Nothobranchius furzeri: one gene and its partner. The protein of the gene in region 1 interacts with the protein of each later gene in a pairwise test. Links are inferred from orthologs where the notes say so. Each region holds a gene or a part of one and is shown in the gene's direction. Other genes may lie near its edges. The genes, in order: rchy1 and aig1.

Region 1 (4,365 bases):
ATGTATCTGTAGGCTGAATAATTCTAAAAATGTGATGTTTTAAATCCAACCTTTGTCAGTGCAATACACTATCAGTCAAGAATGTGGAAACACTGGTGTAACAGTCTTTACTCTTTTAGATTAGGGAGTTACTATGACTTACACTTTATTTTCACACCACTGTTATTAGTGGCTCTTGTTTATGTTTTCAGGATTATTTGTCTTTTGTGCTTTAGCATGTCATTTGGTGCTCATTTCATTTTATCTCATCTGTACAATGTTTTTTTGTTTTTTTCAACTTCTGCAAATTGGACCGAGTGTGGAAAAAAAGAATACTTGACTTGACTTGACTTAGCATTTAGAGTTAGATTCAGCATTTAAGTTTAGATTTAAGAGTTAGATAAACTGAAATTATCTGTTATTTAAACATTATTTTAAATGTGACGAAAGTTGTTAAATGTAGGGAAAAATTTGCTAAACATAAAAAAATGTCTGCTAAATAATTTGTACCAGCTATTTACACTTAGCATGTCATAGAGGATATCAAAGTAGCTAAACCATGATTTTCTGGCCTCCGTTAGCTTTAGTTAGCTTTTAGCTACATTGGCTCAGAGTCTGGGTGTCAATCATCAGCCCCCACCCTCACAGCTCCACTATCAGCTTCACCTTTTTTGCCCTTTTTTTAAATGAAAATGACCAGATGCCGATGCGGTTAAGATGGTAATTGGTGGGAACCGCCCACTAGGCATCAATTTAGCATTTAGAAGGAGATATTACAGATCCGTGCCCATGTTATATGTTCCATCCATTGTTATAGTCTATGGTTATAACGTGTTTTTTGTCATTTTGGATTGCCAGAATTAGATTATTTGTATCTATTTGTATTTGTATTTATTTTTCCGTCACAACAATACATATAAAACACATGAAAAGGAAAATAATTATCTAATAAAGATCATAATAATAATTTTCACAAGTATAAATTCCACTTGTAAATTAAACAGTTTCTTTAGATATAATTTATGAATGAAAAGGCATAGGCTGAAGTTAAACTTATTTAAGCCTACCCATTAATTCATTACAAAACCCATTAATTCATTACAAAATGTAAACAGTGTCACAAATATCAAAAGTAAATAAACATGTAAACAATACAGTTATTACATGCATCATCCTAATTTCAACAAAATCAATCAAGAGGTATAAACATGAATAAAACAAAATCAATTATCATTAAATATCAGATATAAAAAATTAGCTATATTAATACAGAATTACATACATGTGACATTTAAGTTTCTCCTAGTACGATTTTTACATCAGACTTTGAAAGTGTTCACTAACCAGAAAGAATGTAATTGTTCTGTTGTGCTGCTGAGGAACATGCTATTTTGAAGATGAAAGATATGACCTATCTGAAATTTTCATGCACATTAGAATGAACTGAACTTTTTCAATTTGCAATTTACATCCATTCCTGCTGCCATATTTCAATTCTGCCACGCACATCATATAATAGAACAGAAGGGAAACGATTAACATTGAATAAATGTCAAAACGGCTTGCCAAACAGCTACTATGGTGGCAGAAAACACGCGAAGAAGAAGAAGACCTCAGCGTAAGCAACATGGCGTCTCCATCTGGGTGCTCGCATTATGTCCGCAGCTGTTTTTTGAAAGTGGGTAAAGTGTGTGAAGTAAATCGCTTGTATTGAGGGAAATGTGAGTGTTTGGACTGTAATTGTTGGTGCTGTCGTTAGCAAAGCTAGCGGCGACGCAGAGGTGGCTTGTCGCTTATGGAAATGTTGTTTTATATGAAAATTGTTACGTAACGTTATGAATGACTGATCCGTGCGCGTTCCTCTTACCTTCATTAAAAAGAGAAAAGTGTTTTAGGGTTGTTGTTGTTTTTTTTTTTTTTTTTAGTTTTTGGGTTATCTGCCATCAAATCAGAAACTATCGTTTAGATTTAGCTAATTATTATATACACATGATGCCATATAGCTGAAAGTTTACGTGAGTTTTACCAAACCCGTTTACAGCTGAGCTGAGGCTGGCCTCAGACTGATGAACTAAACCTGTCCCTACACCTGCAGGCACCTTGCTGCGGTAAACTGTACGTGTGTCGGCTGTGCCACGATGCAGAGGAGAACCACCAAATGGACCGATTCAAAGTCCGAGAGGTGCAGTGCTCCGAGTGTCAAACCTTACAGCAGGTAAACACCTGGAGCTACTGTGTGCCTCATCTTAAATGTGGTCATTCCCACATTCCCTTGTGATCTCTGCGATGATTTAATCAGAAGAGTGGAAATAAAAACGAGCTGTTTTCCTCTAGACGCAGCAGACTTGTCAGCAGTGTCACATGCAGTTTGGGGAGTATTACTGCGACATTTGTCACCTGTTTGACAAGGACAAGAAGCAGTACCACTGTCAGCCCTGTGGAATATGCAGGTGAGAGACCATGGAGTTGTAAGGATGTAGTCCCAATATCACTAACCCTCAGCGTAGTGCAGAGGTCTAGAGCCAGACGTCATCCTTTAACGTGGTCTTGAACAATAGTTGTCGGGCTTTCTGACCATCTTGTTTTTTCTTGGTTTACTTCATACATGTCCATTTCCTCAGAGGAAGATCTGTTTTTATTTGGTAAAGAATTTCGCTGTTGTTATGCAGCAAAGAACACTGAGTTCAAGAACCCATTTTAGCTTGAATCTTGGATTGGATCACTCTTTTTTAATTTGTTAGGATTTGACCTATTTATACAAAGATGTTTTATAATCAATTTATCTGAATGAAAAGTACCACCCCACGAGAGCTGGGCTGAACTTTGGTTGGTGCTGAAAAAGCAACACGGCCTGAATCCGGGTAGAACGCTGAGAACATTCATCACAGAGTTTGGTCAGAGGTCAGCTGAATAGCACACATACAGTGGGCACTGAAGTATTCAGACCCCATCATTTTTTCACTCTTTGTATTTATATGGCAACCTTTTTGCTAAAATTAGTTAAATTCATTTTCCCCTCATGTATGTACACACAGCACCCTTTATTGACAGAACAACAGAAGTTTAGACATTTCTGCAGATTTATTCAAAAAAGAAAAACTGAAATATCGCATGGAAGAAATGAGGCTATTTAACAAAACACTATTTGCACCTATTAACCTTCAAATCTAGCCAGAATACATTTCTATATTTGATGGGATTATTGGCATTTTTATGCTGTAGGAGGAAAAAAGGTAGTTTTCATTGTTCATCTGCATTTTCTGTCTTGTACTTTTCACCCACTGTTTGAGTGAGAACTGCAGAAGAGCAGGGTGCTGTGGCCCGTGGCTCCTTTTGGATGATGTGGCCCTCTGTGATGTTTATATTTGAGCTGACAAAAGGAAAGGATAGTTTTGGAAGTTTTACCTCGGATATCTGCAAAACGTGCATGGACTTTCCACAGCAGACACACTAACACAAGTAGGTTGTTGGTGCAGTATTCTGCTTTAGTTTTCTCTCACTGGACCACTATTTATCTGACATTTTATCAATATGGGACGGACCCTGAGCATTATCTGGCAACAAGCTGCTGGAACATCTAAATATACGTATACAAAGTGATGCTGATGGACATCATGGGTTCATTTTTTTGTCCAAGAATTCACACAGGCAGTTACTTTTGTGGTTTGATGCTAATTATACAATGCTGTGCAAAAGTTTTAGGCAGGTGTGGAAAAAATGCTGTAAACAAAGAATGTTTTTAGAAATGTAAACAATGATTGTTTATTTTTACCAATGTACAAAATGCAAAGTGAGTGACCCCAAGCATCCAACAAAAGTCATTTCAGAACTAGTTTCAAGGTCCTGGAAGGGATGGTGTGGCCCCTACAGAGCTCTGATCTCATCACGGAGGGTCTGGCATCACATGAAGACAGAAGGACGTGAGGACACCTACATCCACAGGAGATCTGTGGTTGGTTCTCCAAGATGTTTGGAACAACCTACCAGCCCAGTTCCTTCAACAGCTGTGGTCAAGTGTAGCTAGAAGATCTGATACGGATTTGATTTAGATTTCTCTTTTGTTCATTCACTGTTTTTTGTTGATTAGTGAAAAATAAATGATTAACACTTCCATTTTAAAAAGCTTTCTCTGTTTACAGTATTTTTTCACACCTACCTTAAACTTTTGCACAGTTCCTTATTTCTGTATTTACAATCTTTCTTCTAATAGGGCTCTCCCAACATCTACATTTGAAGACTTTGTGCTAGAAGACTCAAAATGAAAGGAAAACTCAAACCTGCCCCAGATCTTATGTTGAAAACAAGAGCAAGAGTTCCAGAGAAAAAGTCGTGTCCACAAAGCTAGAGGGCTTTATTTACCTCACTTTATGTCATAAATGAGCTGCC
Region 2 (4,462 bases), on another chromosome or scaffold:
AAAATAAAACACAGATTTATGATACAAAACAATGATTTACCAGCAAAACAAATATATATTATATATTTTAACTTCTGGAACTTAATAAGAATATTTCTATGACACATTTACTGATTAATTGTATAATTTTTATTTTTCAATTATGTCTTGAATAAATAAGATCAATTTATGGTTTGACTGAACATTAATATGATTTGTTAACACCGGCTCTTGGGGGGGGGGGGGGGGGGGACGTGGCCACCCCTTGGGGGCGCCCTTGCCTTGAGTGTCATGAAAGGCACTTAGTGTTGATGTTCTGAGCTTTTCTCCATCTATAGCCTACTAACAATAGCTAATGTAGGAAAGGGTGGTAGAAGACTGTTTTTACATTTAGCCTGCATGGGAAACTAAATTACCGACTAACAATTAAACAGTTTGTGAGTAAACTTGGTATTTTACTAGTTAAGTAGACCACGTCATTACCTGTGAAACCTCCAAAGCCGAGGTAAACAGAATGGGAACTAAACCACATACCTTTTGGATACATGCTGCCAAAATCACGTGTGAAGAGTTCATAACCTAACTGGACCAACTTTGTGGAATGCATTCGCTGCTGATTTGGGTTTGAAATGCTCCCGGTGGGAAGGGTCGTGCTGCTGAGCTCGCGGGGGAAAAGTATATCAAAACCTATAATATTCACCACTGAAGCTTCCTATGGAAAACCAGGGTAAGGTTTTCGGGGATGGGGGTCGATTTAAAAATGTATCTGATTACTCAGAGGGTTTGTGATTAATTACTCTTGATTAATCGCATTTTAATCATTCAAAGAAATTCGTCCCAAAAGCTATTTTTATATTAAACATCATTTTAGTGAGGCACAGAATTAAACAACAAACGCAGACAATGTTGTAAACTCTCTTTAATTTCTGAAAAAATGGTTCTAATTATATTTCTATTCAACACAGGATTTTAGTAACATAAGCAAAGCAGGGCTTTATTGTGTGTGTCAGTGTAAGGTTTCGTCTTGCTTCAAATGCAAGATGTGATTAAATGTGTGAATGATTTTAATGTTATTTTAGTCCCACCTTTAGTTTTATGTTGTTTTATTGGAAAAGCTGCAGTTTTCTAGACTGTAGGGCTCTACTTTATTTATAGAGCGCTTTTAACACGGCATTAAAACCGACCAAAGCGCTGCACAAATAAAATAACAGAAATATTCACATATGCCATAAAAACTATTAAAAAGAGCAAAGAAAAACCACAAAACCCAAGGTGGGAAGAAGGATGATCTGGCTGCAGCCTTTTCTCTACTTCCCTTTTGGGGCCACAGTAGATCGGTTTTCCTACTGGTCAGAAGATCTAATCTGTTGAAAAATGACGTCAAACTAAATATTTGACGTACTTTACATAAACTGAGGATAAATGAAGACACAAAGAAACAAAATCGTGTTTTATTATTTCAGGCATTGGAGTAAAACCAGGCAGTGGCCTTCATCTTCATCATCACGCGTAGAAACGCCCTCCCCCTTACATCATCATCATAACACGGAAGCAGTTGAGATACCCCGGGGGAGCTGGGCGGTGCGGGGAGACACAACCGGACATTAACCACCGCTAACCGGAGACACCGGGCAGGTGGAAGCAGGTGCATCAACACAAACAACAACCGGAGGGACCGGAAGCATCATGGCGCTGATCCCCTCGCAGGTGCTGCGGGTCGCCATCCTGCTGTCGTACTTCTCCATCCTCTGCCACTACAAAGCCCTGGACATGCCGGCGCACCAGACCTACGGCGGCAGCTGGAAGTTCCTCACCTTCATCGACCTGGTGGGATTTACCGTCCCTGTCTCTCCGTTTTACCGTAAAATTAGCCTACGGGTAGGACGCAGAACACCGGCGGCGGCGCCCTCGGCTCGAGCTGCGCGGGTTCGGATGAAAGGATCCGGTTTCCCGCCGCTGTCTTTGTTCGGCTCTAGTGACGATAGGGAGGAAACAAAAACCGGATAGTTTCAGATCACGAACCTGAAATCACGTGTCTGATAATGCGTGTAGAGGTGAGCTGAACCGGAACAGGTGTTGTGCTGCTGAATGTTGTCGTTAGAGACAACCCCCCGCCGGGCGGCGTGCGCCAACACATGTAAAGTGTTCCGAGTCAGCTGTTCTGAGTTGTTCCTGAACAGCCTCTGTTCAGAGAAATGGTTCACTTCACGTTCATCTGGACTCACGATGGGGAAGGCTGTTGTTGGTTTAGCGTCCAGGAAACAGCAGAGAACATCCCCGCTTGCAGAAGCTAATGTTAGCATTAGCAACTCCACCACACAGCAGAACTCCTCCCAAACCTTAACCAGATACATGAGTGTTATGGTGACAGGATGACACAGAAATCGCTATGCCCTCTGGTGCGTCTTTTAAGATTCATTTATTTACCGTGTCACTTTTGGCAGAAAAAGCTAAAATAAAAAAGGAAAGTGTGTGTGTGTGTGAGTGTGTGTGTCGGCGCTAGCTGACTACTCATAGGAGTATCTTATTTATGTAGCGGAGAAGCACCTAGCAGACCCGGTGTCTGCTCATCCTCTCATCCATTGCTGACACACTATACTCTGGAGGGGTGAGAGAATGGGGGATGCCGACATCCTCTTCACCACTCTGCTGCAGCTAAAGGTCACAACCATCATGGTGAACGTGCTCCATCCACGGGAGTTTTATTACACAGTCAGGGAAGTTTAGGCGGGTTCTGAAATAATCTGCAGGATTTACAGATCATGTGACAGGATCTGGTTATTATTGCAGCATTTTTAATGAACTTATTTAGCTGCTTTCTAAACGGAGGCTACTTGTCTTTCTGATGAGGATCACGAGCTGCGTTCGTGCAGGACGTCTGATCAGCTTACAGTGACTCTGAGTTTGCATCATCTGTCTTCCATCGTTGGACATTTGGGTGTTCTCTGTAATCTGGCAGCTGCTGAGTCCGTCGCTGCTCCTCTTTGCAGGTGATCCAGGCCGTGTTCTTCGGATTGTGTGTCTTGATCGACGTGTCCAGTCTGCTGACTAAAGGAGCCGACAGCAGGGAGCAGGAGCGCCAGCTGAAGAAGCTGATCGGCCTGAGGGACTGGATGATGGCTGTGATGGCCTTCCCCGTGGGAGCGGTGAGGAGATGGATGCAAACATCCAGAACACACAGCCAGACCAGCGTCAGCTGCTAGAGGTCAATAAGTGAGAGAACTGTGAGATGATGTTGCCATGGTGACGCTTGGTGCAGATGGGGCTGGGCAATAGGGCGGTAGTAAGACATATGAGAAAAGTTAAGTATAAACCAGTCAATCATGTTAAATGTTGCTCCGCACCGACCAATCAGTGGTAGAGGCTGAACATGCTAATGGCTAATGTTTGTGTTGCTAGCTTAGCCTCCTGCTGCAGGTAACAGGTAGAACAACCAATAGAAAAGGAAAGAAAACGACGGGGGATGCGGCCAATCGTCATTTAGGGACCGCGTTGTTGTATTTTAGCTAGCTGCACCGCTAATGATGTTGAGCAGGTTTCTGCTTTATCTCCTGAATCAGGTCCCTCCTGCTGGAGCGGCAGGAAGTAAGCCTTTCTCAGAGGAGAGCGAGTGTAAACACACACACACACACACACACACACAGCCTGTGTGCAGAGCTCAGATTACACAGAACAAGACAGGATGTTCACCTCGACTGGTCTAAAACCTGCGTCGAATGTGTGTGTGTGTGTGTGTGTGTGTGAAGTCAGGCATCTTGAACTAGAGCACAGGTGAAAGGCAGGTAATCCCATCCCTTTTCAGTAGAACTGGTCCTGGCCTCTGTCCAACAATGGAGACACTTTGGACCCTGAGGCCATCCTCTCATGGTGCGTTCAGGATCCGTAGGACATGAGGCTTTTGTGATGCATCTCAGGAAAGTCCTGCTCATGCCTCACAGACATGGTTTATCTTCTAGGATTCTGATCCAACACTCAATTGAAACTTTATTTATCTAGCCAGTTTGATGCAAGGCAAAGTCCTTCACAACAAATCGGTACACATGAATAAGCTGCAGAGACTCGACCCTAATGTCCTCCAGTTAGGGTTGGGCAACGAGCATCGATTGGAACCGGTTCCAACTGTTCATTTTTCCCGGGATCGTTCAAAGTCTGTTTTTTTTTCGATTCCTAGTTTCGATTCCTAGAATGCTGACGGAAGAGGAATCCGCGGCTGATCTCCATGAAAAATTGACGGGATCTGCAAATTATGATCAACGCTTTTCAGAGCTGATCACACTGAGTTTAATGTTTAAAATCTGTTAGGTTGTTACTGACAGCAGCTACGTTTAAGTTTCACTTCCTGTTCTGACTGAATGCTGCTGCAGCATGGAGGTGTAGTTCTCAGTCATCCTGGACATGATCATCCTGAGAGTTTCAGCTGAAAACAGCTGGATGTTTCTGGATATGTTGGAGACATTTAGCCTCTCTCCCAGAGGCTGCTTCC

The links.
Region 2: the proteins of rchy1 (region 1) and aig1 interact in binary tests that used the Homo sapiens proteins (3 or more experiments, as listed by UniProt). The link is inferred for Nothobranchius furzeri from reciprocal best matches to the Homo sapiens genes RCHY1 and AIG1.

The regions. Positions count from the first base shown.
Region 1 is NC_091757.1:28,790,951-28,795,315, reverse strand, and holds the start of rchy1 (RING finger and CHY zinc finger domain-containing protein 1), read left to right. Parts: upstream 1-1,537; 5' UTR 1,538-1,606; coding exon 1,607-1,657; intron 1,658-2,074; coding exon 2,075-2,194; intron 2,195-2,313; coding exon 2,314-2,429; intron 2,430-4,365. UniProt on the Homo sapiens protein: E3 ubiquitin-protein ligase that mediates ubiquitination of target proteins, including p53/TP53, TP73, HDAC1 and CDKN1B. Mediates ubiquitination and degradation of p53/TP53; preferentially acts on tetrameric p53/TP53.
Region 2 is NC_091742.1:15,117,284-15,121,745, reverse strand, and holds the start of aig1 (androgen-induced gene 1 protein), read left to right. Parts: upstream 1-1,509; 5' UTR 1,510-1,665; coding exon 1,666-1,806; intron 1,807-2,969; coding exon 2,970-3,125; exon of another isoform or gene 3,126-3,184; intron 3,185-4,462. UniProt on the Homo sapiens protein: Hydrolyzes bioactive fatty-acid esters of hydroxy-fatty acids (FAHFAs), but not other major classes of lipids. Show a preference for FAHFAs with branching distal from the carboxylate head group of the lipids.